2 linked regions of the Alligator mississippiensis genome follow. The protein of the gene in region 2 purifies or fractionates together with the protein of the main gene of each other region. This does not show direct contact. Links are inferred from orthologs where the notes say so. Each region holds a gene or a part of one and is shown on either strand. Other genes may lie near its edges.

Region 1 (7,466 bases), on a different chromosome or scaffold from region 2:
GATCTGTGTTTGCCTCATTAATGTAGCCCAGTATTCTGTTAGCCTTTTTGGCAACAAGGGCACACTGTTGACTCATATCCAGCGTACTGTCCACTGTAACCACCAGGTCCTTTTTTGCAAAGCTGCTATTTAGCCATTTGGTCCCAAGCCTGTAGCAGTGTGTGGGATTCTTCCATTCTAAGTGCAGGACTTTGGCACTTGTCCTTGTTGAACCTCACGAGATTTCTTTTGCCCAATCTTTATGGCAATTTTGCCTAGACCAAGGGTGACAAATTCACTTCAGGCTGCAGGCTGGACCCAGATTGCAGGGGCTCCTCAGGCTGTATCTGCATGACCAGCAACAATTACAAAGGATCCATATTTGGAAGATGGCAAAGGGCCAGGACCTGCCACTGATGCCATGTCCATCAGGGTTCAGGGACTATGAATTCTGTAACAGGGCACACCTCCCAACTTGTGGTAGCATGACAGGTTACCAGATAGAATGGTCTGGCATGCCAAATCCAGGCTGCAAGTCATGTTTGACAAGTCATGTTGATCTAGACCACACTTCCCTAGTTTGCTTATGGGAATGCAATGTGGGACAATGTCAAAGGCTTTAGTAATATGGAGATGTACTGCATCTACAGGTTCCATCTCAGCCCTGTCAAAGAAAAAAAAAAACCACATCATTTTTTCTATTACCTTTGGTCAATAAGCCACACATGATGCAGTACATGCTATAGCTTATATGCATCTACACCAGCAAGCTCAAACATTTAAACTGAAGAACAAGAAATCATCCACAAGCTGGACTGTGTTATGCATAGCTTAATATAGACTCTAAATTCTTATCCCATGATCTAGACTATCTTTATATAACCCCTACGTCCCTCAGTGGGTTAAAAGCTTTGTTTAACCGTTTCAACCCTCTTCAATCCACTTTTCCCTCACTCAGCAGTGTTCTCTTCTCTGCTCCCCTTTCCTTATCTCTTGTATTTAAATGACTTTCTTCCTTTCTATTTGGTACCCCTTGTCACAACCCAAGGGTGTGATTTTGTTTGTGTGCGCTTCGGCACTGCTAAATTATTTCCCACCACGAGGAGCTTTCTTTGCAGGGTGCATTTCTTAGTTGCAAAGAGAAATGCACGGTGCAAAGGAGTTCCTGCCACCCGCATGCAAATTTGTGTCCCACTATTGGCCAGTTCTAAATTATTCCCACGTGACGGCTAGTGATTGGCTTGCTAGCCGTATAAGCGGCTTGAGCGGTTTCCGCCCAAGTTGGAGGACTCCACAACTATCAGGAGAAGGAGAACTTCATGTCTCGTGAAGATCTCTAAACGCTGCGGAGCCTATCGGACCCAGCGTATACCTTGAGAAGGCTATAGGGGTCTGATCAACCTCTGGCCTCTCCCCGTCGCCGAACGATCCCTCAACGAACCCCTTCCCTGCGCGCAAGTTCCACGGAGCCTAGCAAACTTCGTGTGAGTGTATCCAGAGCTCTTTCTCCGAGTTGTTTTCTTCGGTTGACACGATGGGCTTGCGTGTTTAGAGCCTTCAACCGGATTGGGCTAGAGGTTCGCGTGGAAGGAACTCTCGTCCGCTTTTCTTCTTTTCTGTCTGTAACTGCAACTCAAGCAAGTTTTCCTGCCTGCACCACGACCATCTTTGGTGTAAGTAAAATAATCTTTAATCAACCGCTAAGCGTCCGTGCCTAATTCTAGTCTGCCGGCCTGCACTCCCCAACCCGCGTGCCAGGGCTGCTGGCCACAGCCCGCGCCGCGCACCCCCGAGAATCTCGGACCGCTCCCGGCCCGCACACCCCTGCTCACTGGGTGGACATTTGTTTGCCTGAGGACAAGAAGCAGCAGCACACCTTGTGCTGCCTGAGATAAACCTATGCTATGTGCCCTCTGGCTTGCGGCAGGTTATGTCAGGTAGGGTAGGGGAGGATTCCAGCAGCCTTACTTGCGGCCCTTGAGGAGTCACAGCTGTGGTGCTCCTGCAGCTGGGAACCTGGCTGGCAGCCAGAGAATGGTTCCAGAAGGCCAAGATCTGGTTTTGGGGGGCACATGCTGCCACCACATGCGCCACTCCACTTTAAGGAGCAGGTTTTTTTGATTCCGCTGCAAGGTAGACAGCATGCAAGTCCATTCATAGTATCTGACAAGGATGTTGTAGCCAACAAAAACTCTATGAACAAGTAAATCTATAAGGTACCACCTTGTCCTGCATTCAAATAAAAGTTAAGTACATTCAGAAGCACCCTAATGAATTGGGGCCTAAAGGGACTATTTTCTCCTCACCTTGTGAGGACAACAGCTAGCCAACTTCTCATACCTGTTATCTCTGCAGTGGTTTCCTGCTTTAATAAAGGTCCCAGCTTCTTATGTTTTCAAAAACAAGCCTCTGATTTTCTCTTAGCTAGACTGAAGAATATTTTAATTACTAGTATAGATGGGGCACAGTAACTTTTCAATACCAAGAAAAGAACAGAAAGGTAAATGATGATATTAGCCTAATGATGCACATGATAGCTATCTGGTGTCTCTTCCATTTTATCTGAAAACAGACTCTTATCTATGGTAGTAGGCTTTTCAGCACCAGTTTGAAAGGATAAAAGAAAAAAAAAATCTCATCACCTGTAGCTACAAATAGTTATGTAATTCAGCATGATCTTGTATATGAGCAAAAATACACATGCCACCTGTAATGTTTTAAATAAAACATACTTTTTTGTAGTCTATGTTTTCTTCTATTGCTTTCAATAACTAGTCCTAAGCAAGGCAACAGGCAAGCAAGAAAAAAAAGTCTGTATCACCCCCTAGTGGCAAATCCATTGCAGAAACATGCAACCACTTAATGATTAAAGGAATCTTAATTAATTCAAATATGCCCCAATCCCCAAGTCCCAATCCTGTAGAGACAAACTTTTAATAAAAAAAATAAGGCCAGCAAGAACTGACTCAGTTTAAGTCTATTTACCTACTCTGTAGGAATGTTGGAAGAATTTATATTTGTAAACAGCTTAAACACAAGAAATGCTAAATATTATTCTATTATTCTAAATATTGCATAAATCAAGGTACAGGTTGATGGCACCTCCTACGCACATATTGCTTCACAAGCAAAATGGGAACTATGAAGTTAAACAGTATTCTGGAAGCTTCAGGACAGACCATTGATTTAACAATACCGTACATATGGAGGGGGAAGAGATGATGCTAAAGCTGTTGTCTTTCACACTTCTTACCAGTACCAAAGGCTAATCAGCAAATAGGCTATGGAGAATAAGTTACCATCTCATCTGTTGCAGCCAATTTCTCCCTACATAAAGTAATGAATGGAGAAATAACAGACTTGACTAGTAAGGGAGGTCCAAGAATAACCCCAGAAACACTTTCCCAACATAACATACTATTCCTCCATGCTCATTTCCTTTGATACGCTCCTCAGAACACATCCGCACCTTGCAATCTGCAAACTTACTTTACACCTTCTCCAGAAAGCATGAGGAAGTGCTTGCTGCATGTAACATTGCTATTTAACTAACCTTTGCATCAACAGAGCAGGTCTCATTCTTGTTTTCTGTGGCATGTGCTTTTTTAGGTTAAGATGTTGGTGTGACAAAGTACAGCTGTAGCTGTGATGGCTTAGACCAGTGATGGTCAACTTTCTGGCAGGCATACCACAAATAAGTCCTGCATCTTTCCCAAGTGCTGCTCCAATCCCCTCCTATGCCCAACCCACTGCTCTGCCTTCTGCTCTCCCCATCCTGTGTTCCCTGCCTGGCTCGCGGCTCCACCCCCGCACACCGGGTGCGGTGTGGCCCGTGGTCCCCCAGCGACCCGCGTGCCACACACGCGCTGCCCGTGCCCCTGTGCCACAGGGACCACCCCTGCCTTACAGAAAAAGCGAGGCGAGGCATGTGTGGGGATCTCCTCCCTAGCCGCCCGCACAGCAGGCAGGGAGGGCCGCCGGGTACGAAGCTTCCTCAGGGGGCGCTGGGGCAGGCGCCCCGCGAAGCCAAAACCCCCGCTTTCCCCAGGACGGAGCCCAGCCGGACCCCGCGCCCACAGCCCTGGCCCCATTCCCGCCAGACTCACAGGCCGCGTCCTCCTCGTCCCACAGCAGAGCGGCGGCCCAGGCCGCCATCACCCGGCGCGGTCCCCAACCGGCGTCTCCCCGCCGCGCGGTGGCGGCGCCGACCCAAAAGGGAACCGCGGCGCGGCGCGAGGAAAGGCCCCCATTCGCTCAGCCAATCGGCCGCGGCGGCGGCGCTCTGCCTGCCGGGATACCCCAGCGCCCGCTAGGAATTGTAGTCCCGGCGACAGGCTGCGTACTCGATCGGGGACGGCCGGGAGGCAGAGGTGACCCGCCCACAGGGCGTTACCGCCAGCAAGCGGGTCTCCGGGACAACGCGCCCAGGGCAGCTCCGGGCGGGACTTCTTGAGCTGTGCCACGTGCAACGATCCTGCGCGAAAGGGGAGGGAGGGAAACAAGAGGTATTGCAGGAGCAACCGGGGGCGCATCCTCATAGCACGAATGGCCGAGCTCTTCTCGGGGTGGGAACTCACGCCGTTCAGCTCCGATCAGGTTCTCCTTGTGCTGGGCCTGGGAAGCGCCACAAGATCATCCCCGCCTGCGGGCAGCCGGCTGCATGGGGACACTGGCGCCTTACTCTGGGGAGCATTGGGAGGGGCTCGAGGACCGCAGGAGCCGCGCACAGCTGAAGGGCGCTCCCGAAAGCGACTGACTGGTGGTCTCCCGGGTCACGCGCTCCTCACAGCCTGCCAGGGAGGTAGGGGCTGAAGAAAGTTGGGCCAGGGATCCCTGGGACACACAGAAAAGCCTTCCAGAAAAACGTCCTGATGCAGCGTAGAGCCGCTCGTTACAGACCAGGCAAAACAGCAAATCGAGTAGCTAGAGCGCAAGTACAGAGGGCTGGGCGCTATATCGGGTGTGGCTTTGGGGCGGTTCCGCCTGCCGCGATAGGCCCCGCCCAGGATGGTGCCCCTCCCTGCCCACCATGTTGAGTGCGGCTCCTCCGAGTGGGCGGGGTTTCCGCTTCCGGCAGCGGCGGTCTGCGACTCGGTGCGGCGAGCGATGGGCTGTTAAAGCGGTGGCAGTGGCGGTACTTTCACTTACGGCCCAGCCTCGAGGGCGGCAGCGGTAGGTGAGAGGTGCCTGTTGTCGGTGGAGCCGGGACCGGGACCGGGGTTTGCCTTCCCGCCTGCTCCGCCGGGGGGAGGAGGCGCGGAGGTGGCGGGTCACGCTGCCTCGGGCGAGCAACAGCCTCTGGGCTTGGGCGGGGGTCGGTTGCGGTTCCGCCGGCCCCTGCTGCGGTGCTTTTGCGCGGGCTGTGAACGGGTCGAGCCGTCCCGGGGCCCGTGCGGGCTGCTGGCCCCTGCGGCGCGCCCCCCGTCCCGTGTACTGGAGAAGCCGAGCGGCCTCCTGTGCCTCCGCCGTGGTGGGAGCGCTGCTGCGCCCACACCTGCTCCTCCGCCGCCACAGGAGAGGGGCTGCCGGGTCCCCTCGGGTCTGTAACCTCTCTGGTGTTGCCTTCGGGAGCAGGCTCCAGGGGACGTGATACCAGGGATCCCAAGCCTGCTCGGGCCAGTGTTTCTCTCTGCGCTCTTGAGCAGCAGTTCCCAACTTCTTTTTTTTTAAATGCCAATGGCTGGTGCCCCTCACTCCCACCCCCCTGCCTCCATCTCCATGTGTGGGCACAGCCAACCCTAGGGGGATGCGGGCCCCGGGGCAAATCAGCCTGTGCGGGGCTGTTGGACCCCTGCAAAGGTAGGGCACAGCAGTGCCATAGCAATTAAACTTGGCGCTGGGGCCAAGCAAATCCAGAGCGCCTGGGACAAGCCGCTTTTCAGCAGAGGAGGAGTCTGCAGGGAGGGTTGGGGGTTGGTGGGTAGTGGCCAGATGCTTCTTCTGCGGCAGGGGGCTGAGCCACCAGCTCCAGGCAGGCCCTACGGGAGACGTGTGGTTGCTCTGCCCAGCTCTACAGAGCCCCCCAAAGCATGGGGGTCAGGGCGGTTGCCCTGATTCGCCCTACCCAAGGGATGGCTCTGTATGTGGGGCACAATGGGAGGTGTAAAGGGCTGCCTGGGAGCCCTCCATGCCCCACAAGCTGGAGCTCTGCCAGCCTGCAAGGGAAAAGCCACCGTTTCCCATGTGTCTTTCCTTTAAAGGACAATCCAATTTTAGAACTTGTTGGTGACCCTTTCATATATTCTTGTGACTGACTTTTGGGTCATGACTCATAGGTTGATAAACGCTGCTTTTGAGGACCAAGCAGCTCCTTAGGAAGGCTTATCAGGACCAAGGGAGAGGGCCTGCCCTAGGGCTGCCTGCTGCTGAGGCAGCTCTTTGGCCTGAGGTGTTCTTCAACAGGGGCTGGCAAGTGGCGCAAAGACATTCTTAATGGAGCTCTTGTTTCTAAACTTGAGCACCATGAGCGATGGTCTTCACTAGTGCGTTTTGAGGCAGCAACAGCAGCTAGCAACGTGTGTAAAATCCTTGTGTAATGATTGGATACCAGCCAACTGGGAGAGGACTCTTGACGCAAGTTATTGGCTTTCCCAGCAGCAAACCTTGACTGGACACATGTGAAGCTGAGCACATTAACGTGTTACCCGGAAGAGATGGCATTACCAGTGCCTATTCTTCAAGCTCTCTACTCTGTGCAGTGTGTTCAGGAAATGAATAAGTGAAGCCTGGGAGGGTGCAGAGTAGTGTGTGTGGTTTTTTTGTGTTGTCTCAGCTGTCCTGTCTGTTTAGATAAGGGACAGTAGCTGGCATGGGGGAAGGGATTTTAACACCTCGTATTACCCATATGGATATGAGCAGAGGACTGAGGTTTTTTTTTCTAACAAAAGCAGAATTCTTCTAACTTCAGTTCATGCAGGAGTTGAGCCTCCTGCTCATGTGTACTGGTCATGAAGGACCAAGGCCTAGGCCCTCTGTTGTCAGTTGAAAATAGGTGATTGAACTTGTAGTAATACTTGGCATTTTTAACTTCAGATCTGTCCAGACATCAATTTGCTGATTCATTGTGCATTTCTTTGAGGAAGGGTTCTTTACTTTGCCGGAAGGGAAACTGAGACATGGGTAGTTATGGCACACCTGAGGCCATAAAAACTTGCTGAGTTTTACCCTTTGGGAGGCCCTGGCTTCCACTCTGTGACTGGAGCAATTAGATCATGTTGGTTTTCTATTTGCTGTCCTTATTTTCTAATGGGAACCCTTCTCTATAAACACAGGCTGCATCTGTCAGTCATACCTGTAGGCACACCCATCAGGAGGTATTGTTTAGACTAGTGGTTCTCAACCTTTTTTGTACCAGAAACCATTTGTAAACATTGATGGCCAAGCGCCAGGCCCCTGTGTGTGGGGCAGGGCAGGTTGTGTGGGAGGCATGGGCATCAGGTTGGAACTCTGCAAGGGAAAAGCCAAGGTTTCCCACGTTTTTCTCCTTT
Region 2 (7,249 bases):
AGAGCAGCCGACTTATTTAGGATGCTCGCTAAAAGCAGCACTAGGGAAACCGGCGTCGATAAAAACACCTTCAAGGTGGTTTTTAAAAGGGGAACATCGTTTAAAGCATCCAAGAGAAAGCAGCGCAAATTCACAGGGCTCTGCACTGACAAATGCCTTGGGGGTGGGGGGTTTTCCCCCGCTTCTCTTTCAACTCAAGAGTAATTAAAGAACCTTCCTGGTCCCACCACCAAAATCTCAGCTGCAGCTGCTGCGTGCTTGTCATTTGCTGTCTCTTCTGCAATCTGCTGCTGCTCTTATGCTTTGGGGGGGGGAGCACGTTTGGCAAGAGAAGAGCTCCAGGGAGCTGTCTTGCTGGCTGCGTCTAGACGCTATGAACAAGATCGGGGTTTGCAGACCTAGCGGTTACAGTCGGATGCGAGAGGAACTGGCCTGCTGAGCTGCCTTCCTGCTTGCCACAGGTACAGACCCTGGGAAGGCAGAGGAAGAACAGTCTCTTCTGGGGAGCGCGGCTCCCCTTTTCCCATCGGCAGTCACCTCCTCCCTCTCCTGCCCAAGACGCCAGCCCCAGCCTCCCCCTGGTCGCTCCTCCCAAAGCTTTTCACGTGTGCTGGGCGACCTGAGCGCAGGGGGCCTGGACCCGATGATCTCGAGAGGTCCCTTCCAGCCCCTAACTTCGACGAGTCTACGTCAGCTCCCCAGTCCCGCTTGGCATCAAGGGGCTCCAGTGAAAAACATCACGATCCTCAAGGGACAAAGCCACCGCAATGAGGAATAAGAAACGCTAAAACCTTGGCTGAGAGGTGATACCTTTTATTAGACTGACCAGAAAAGAGCCAAAAATTACCCTTCTTGGCCAGCTTTTGGGCTTGCAAAGACAGGTAATTTCTTTGCAAGGGGAAATTCAAGACGGTAACAGGTAATTTCTTGAGGGGAAATGAAAGATGGTCAAAGTCCCTTAAGGTAGAAAATAAACTTCATTTTGCACAAAGGAAGCTGAAGGTGGATGGATGTCTGTAGTTTATTTTCTACCCAAGGGGACTTTGACCATCTTTCAATCCCCCTCAGCCCAAAGAAGGCTGCATGTGCCCAACAGCTGGCAAACGAAGGTCACTTTCTGGCTCTTTTCCAGTCAGTCTAATGAAAGGTATCGCCTCCGAACCATGAGTTTTAGCATTTTGTGTTCCTTGTTGTACAGCCATGTTGGTCTGAGATAACAGATCCCTCGTCACTGCAACTGCACGCACTCCCCTCGCCCTCCGGCAAGGCCGCTGCCCTTCCACCCAGCGGCTGAGACAGGACTAAATCCACCGGCCCGCCAGCTTTCCCCTCCCCCTGGGGAGAACCGCATGACTTAGCCATGGAGGTTGTTTACTATCTCTGGTCTCCCCACCGCCACCGCCACCGCCGCGCACGTCGGCTTCCCCCTTCGGGCCGGGGAAACGACGGGGGGGCGTTTGCTACGGGACAGCTCGCGCCCGTGACTGCGTCAGGCCTGTCGGGAGCGGAGGTATTTCTGCAGTGATAAATCTCGCCGTCAGTCCTCGCCGTTCATCTCCTCTTTCCGTCCTAGTCATCACCCCCCCACGCGCCTCGATGAATATCAGCTCCCCGCTATCTGCGAGCAATCACACGGCCCTGCCCAGCGCACGCTGTGCCGAGCGGCGTCTCCCCGACCCTGCCCCCCAAATCCAACCTCCCCCACCCACCGCCTCGGACCTCCCTGTGGAAGCGCAGGCCCCAGACCCGAAGGCAGCGCCGCCACCCTGGGGCCCTGCCGAGTCGGCCTCACGTTTGCACACGTTTGCACTCGCTGCCCGAGCTCGGGGCTGATCTGCGGCCGCGCCACGGTCTCCCTCGGCCGGAGCCGGTCTCCCATTTAGCAGGCAGGCGCCCAACTGGCTGCCCGCACCCCGGGGGTTTGCTGCCAGCCATCGTTACCCCGAGTCTCGAGCTCCGCGGGGGCCACAAAACGTTTGCTCTAATAGCAACGAGGCCAGGCCCCCGCACGCGCTGCAGCTAAAGCTTCCTCTTTGGGCCAGTCCTGCCCTCCTCGCTCGGGGGCGGGGGGGGGGTCTCAGCCCCTCCAGGCCCCCCCAGCTGAGCCGAGCGCTGTGACACCGTGCCCCCCCTGCCAGGCTGGGGAGGGAGCTGGTCACCCCAAGGCAAGGTCAGAGGCTGCAGGTGGAGGGGGGGGGGGTCTGTCCCCTGCCCCCCCCCACGAGGCTGCATGGAGCAATGCCCCTCCCCCCCCACAACACACCCAGCTTCCCAGCCTGCCCCCGAGCAATCCCCGGACCCAGTCCCTGCACCCCCCCAGCCCCCTGCGACCCCCCCCTTGCCACCCTCCCAGCTTGAGCCCCCCCATCCCCACAACACCCCCCCACCAGGCCTGGGCCTCTGGGACCCCCCCACGAAGATCCCAGACCTCCAGCTAGGCCCCACCCCCTTTTCTACTAGGCCCCTCCCCCACATCATGTCTCAAGCTGCCCCCCCCCATCTTCCTCACCCCAAAGACAGCCCCCCCCACCGCAGGTCTAGGGCTGGGCCCGAGTGCCCCCAATGCCCCCCCCAAACTTAAGCCCCGCCCCTCCGTCTAAACACCGCCCCCCCAGCATCTCCTCAGCCCCCCCATTTTACCCCCCAAAACCTGCTAAACCTGCTAGGTCCCCCCCAGCCCCCCTGCAACTAAGCCCCACCCCCAAACCCAGCCCCCCCATCTCACCACCCCACCCCCACTGCATACCCCTCAGCCCCCCTATTTGGCCCCCCTAGGCCACACCCTCCGCCGCTAGGCCCCGCCCCTCGCGCTAGGCCCCACCCCCCGCCCGCACTCACCCGAAGAGCCCCGCGAAGAAGGACTGGGAGCCGCGGACCTTCTTGTCGGCCTCGGCCAGCAGCTGCAGCGCCTCCTTCTCCTTCCCGGCCGGGTCCATGATGGCGGCGGCGCGGGAGCGGGATCGGGCCGGGCCGCGACACTCAACGCCGGCGAGAGGGGGCGGGGCCGTGCACGTCACTACCCGGAAGGGGCGGGACGAACTCTGCGGAAGAGGGAGGGAAGAGGGGTTGTGTCACGTGACCAAGCAGGGAAAGGGGCGGGAGTGATGCGAGGCGTCACGTGATGGGAGCACGCTGTATTGCCGGCACGTGGTCGGGGAAACCCCGCCCCCTCCTCCCTCACGTGACGCGGAAGTGAGTCGGCGCGTCTGGAGACAGTCACGTGATGTCCACGGGGGGGGGGGCGTGCAAGGCTATAGGCGCTCGGGGGCGGGGAATAGATATAAAGTATACTTTTTAAAACAAATGTATACTTTATTATAATTTTTAAACATGGTTTATCAAGTCCTATATTTCGTCTTATATTTTTATAACATCTCAATTCGACATTTTAAAAGTTTTTTTATATTTTTATTTTGTACTTTTATTTTTACTGTTATCTATATAGAGTAAAAATAAAAAATAACAAAATAAAATATATCTAGATACTGTCTCTAGATATATTTAGATACAATATAGATATATTGTATATCTATATATAGATACATATCAATATATCTGTATCTATCCATATGTATCTATATCTAGATAGCTAGATATCTGCATAGAGATAGATATCTATATGGACAGATAGTTATAGATATAGCCCTGTATCTATATAGGTTTAGATAAAGTATGGCAGTACTGCCAAGGAGGCCCCAACAGCAGCTCCTATAGGGCGGATGCCCCTCTATCCAGCAGGGGAGCCTTAGGTACCTATAGAGTAAAAGCCCCTAGAAGGGTCCCTATATGGGGCAGAGCTGGGGGAGAAGTCCCGAGGCTCCTATGGAACGAAGGCCCCGTGCGGTAGGGGGGTCCCTGAGCCCCTGCCTGGAAAAGCCCCTCTATAGGTCCCTCTACGTGGCAGGGTTGAGGAGGGACTCAGGCTCCTATGGAACTACACCCCTACACCGCGAGGGTATCCTTGGGCTCCTGTCTGGGAAAGCCCCCATAGGGGTTCCTATATGGGGCACGGTGGGGGGGGGATCCTTAGGCTCCTATGGAACTAAGCCCCTACCCACCGAGGCTCCTGTCTGGAAAAGCCCCTATAAAGGCCCCTATATGAGGCAGGAGCGAAGAGGGAATCCTTAGCGTCTGCTGGAACTAAACACCTGTACAGTATGGGTATCCTTGGGCTCCTCTCTGGAAAAGCCCCTATAGGGGGTCCCTATACAGGGCAGGGTTGGCTTCGGCTCCTACCCTTATACAGCAAGGCTCCTATCCAGAACAGCTGCTATACAGGGCCGTATGCAAGGGGAGAGGACGTTCGGCTTCTAGGCAAGGAAGTCCCTATAGGGGCTTCCCCTATAAGAGCAAATACCCTCAAGGCACCAAACCCCTATGGACAGCCCTGGCAGCTTGCAAATTCCAATGTTAAATTGCCTTCGTTAGGACTAACGGGGGTTACGTGCAGACATGATAAGGCAGCATCCGTTGCTTTTCCCGAACAGCAGCCCCCGGAAAACAGCGCCGGCTCACGTCCGCGCCCAATTAGCGTATGACAACACCCTCGCCACCGGCATGTGCACAAGCGCGTGACACGGCCTAAAGGAGGGGCCGGGTCGTTCTGCAGTTGGGCCACGCGTGGGCTCGTCCCCTCCAAGGGCAATTAAAGCGTGGAATGAGGACGTCCAGCGGTCTTCTAACAAGATTGCAGACACCTGTATTACGATACGCCTCGGTCGGTTTTCAGCAGGGCCAGGGTGATGGGCGTCTTCCAAGATGGAAACCGTGTGTTATCCAAGAGCGTCCGAGCAGCCGTGAACGGGGTCGGACCCTAGGCGAGTCCTGCCCGGTCTCCTGCGCCCCGTGGCGGCAGACAGCGGAGCTGGAAGGGCGAGCGACTGGCTCTGAGCGTTGGGGTAGATGTGATCTCTTTTATTAGACCAACTACATATAATAATAAATAATTTGGGGGTCGACTCAATGATCTATTGAGGTCCCTTCCGACCCTAACATCTATGAATCTATAAAAGAGATCACATCTCCCCACAACCCTTGCCTGCCTATGTCCTTAGACCAACAACCCCAAAGCATGGGTCTGAGCAGGGCTCTTCCCCCCGTCCCTCTCCCACTTGCGGCCACTTTATGTCACGTGTACAAGCGCCGCTGAAGGTTGAGGATATTCTGCTCTGGAGGCCGTGCCCCACACTCCCGCGCTCCCGCTGACCCTTTCCTCCAAAAACGGGTCCAATCCCTTCATGGATCAGGATGAACTCTCTACTTCCGCTGCACCTGGTAGCCACGAGCTCCCCCCTTTCATTTGTCCTGGGTGGAAAAACCAACTACCTATTCGTTTCCTATTGTGACCCCTCGGTTTTTGCCTGGTAAATAAGCCTGAAGAAGGGTGTTTGTAACCTGAAAGCTTGCAACAAATCATTTTTCCAACTATTTTAACTGGTCTAATAAACAATACTGGATTTCCCCCCCCCCCCCCCAAGAACCTTGTCGGCCTTAGCAGAAGCGCTTCTAACGAATCGGCAACAGCTGCTAAACGGCTGCTGTCGACAATCTCGCACAGGACACGACTGGTGAAAGTCGATAATAAATTCCCATCAACTTTCTCTTTCCCATTTAATATTTTATTGCCTCCCTTCAAGCATCTCTTCTCTAAACTGACCAGGCCTGGCCTCGGCCGTCTCTCCTCCTAGGCAAGCCCCTCTGTAGCACTGACCATCCTTGTTGCCCTTGTCTGGACCTTCTCGAGTTCTTCTCTATCCTTTTGCAGGTGCGGGGACCGGAACTGGGCGCCGTGTTCAAGGTGTGGACGCACCATGGCTTCGTAAAGGGGCGTCATCATGCTTTCATTACCATCCTGCATCTCCATAGATACTTCCGCTATCAGGTTTAGCATGATCCTGCTTTCCCTGGTGCTTCCCGCTCCCTTCCGGGGACACTTCTGAGCTGCCTAGGGGACCGACCTGCGTGTGGTCCCCGACCATTAAGGGTGGGGTAGGCGGGCACTTGCTGGCAGGCGACCACGGTCTGGGGCAAGTTGTCCCACATGGCCTGACTGGCTTCCGCATCAAACCCATGCTTCCAGAGGCACTTCCATGCTGCCCGGGGGACCGACCTGCATGTAGTCCCCGACCTGAGGAGGGGGGTAGGCAGACACTTGGCAGTAGCAGACCCCGGTCTGCAGCCGGTTCTCCCACCTGTCCCTGGCGTCAAACCCACAAGGCATTTTGATATGGGCTGGGGCAGTGGTAGCACTGCCACTGGAGGCTTCGCATCCTCTGCAGAGAAGGGGCTGCTCGGTAACAAGACAAGTCCTCTCTAGCCTTTTGCAAACGACCATTCTTCCTGAGTTAAAATACTTCTGCTGCCACAGTAGATTTTTCACTCAGTAGATCATAAAAACACAGACAAGGAGGGCTGGAAGGGACCTCCGGAGGTCACATCTAGTCCAACCTCCTGCTCAAAGCGGAACCAGCCCCAACTACATCATCCTGCACAAGCCTACCTAGGTCTTAAAAACCTCCAAGTACGGAGACTCCCCCCACCCCTCTGGGTAGCCTGTTCCTGTTACTACTCTCCTTATGAGAAAGTTTTTCCTAATAACCAACCTCAACTTCCCCTTGCTGCAGCTTGCGCCCATTGCTCCTTGTTCAGTCATCCGCCCCCACTAAGAACAGCCCGGCTCCAGATGTCACGGTGCGTGACAGCAGCAGCTTCCCCATTTGAGGGATGTAGAAGCAGTGGCTATAGCTAGATGCAGCTACTAAGGGAACCTAAGAAATCCTGACTTCTACACACCGAGCTGCTGCAAACTCCACCGCTAGATATTTCAACCCGAGTTGCATATTCCCTATGTTTGTTAGTGAGGGTCAAATCCCCGGCTTCACGGAGGCGTAGCTTTAAAGGTCAATTTTGTCACCTCTCTACTAACATGAGTCGAGCCTGTTCCAGTGCTTTACTATCCCCTCCTCGTGAGAAAGTTTTTCTTAACATCCAACCTCAACTTCCCTTGCTGCAACGCGACACCATTGCTCCTTGTCCTGTCGCCACTGCGAACAGTCCAGCTCCAGTCAAGAGGATTTTATCTTTTTATTGAGTCCAATCCCATGCGTTTCAACAAAGGATCCAAGACGGTCCGGCTCGGTCTGCAGACTTCAGGAGATGCAGAAGCCACCGCTTCCAATGATGAATCATCTTTACTGTTATAAAAAAACCAAGAGCACGCCCTATTAACCAAGCACCCACAGCCAGAATT

What was found.
Region 1: the proteins of NAPA (region 2) and SNAP23 purify together in Homo sapiens (affinity purification with mass spectrometry; 4 studies listed by BioGRID and IntAct, with this or other methods). This does not show direct contact. The link is inferred for Alligator mississippiensis from reciprocal best matches to the Homo sapiens genes NAPA and SNAP23.

What each region holds. Positions count from the first base shown.
Region 1 is NC_081825.1:237,543,993-237,551,458, reverse strand, and holds the start of SNAP23 (synaptosomal-associated protein 23), read left to right. Parts: upstream 1-4,395; 5' UTR 4,396-4,484; intron 4,485-4,689; exon of another isoform or gene 4,690-4,780; intron 4,781-5,027; exon of another isoform or gene 5,028-5,155; intron 5,156-7,466. UniProt on the Homo sapiens protein: Essential component of the high affinity receptor for the general membrane fusion machinery and an important regulator of transport vesicle docking and fusion.
Region 2 is NC_081838.1:1,791,535-1,798,783, reverse strand, and holds the start of NAPA (alpha-soluble NSF attachment protein), read right to left. Parts: upstream 3,027-7,249; 5' UTR 2,937-3,026; coding exon 2,839-2,936; intron 1-2,838. UniProt on the Homo sapiens protein: Required for vesicular transport between the endoplasmic reticulum and the Golgi apparatus. Together with GNA12 promotes CDH5 localization to plasma membrane.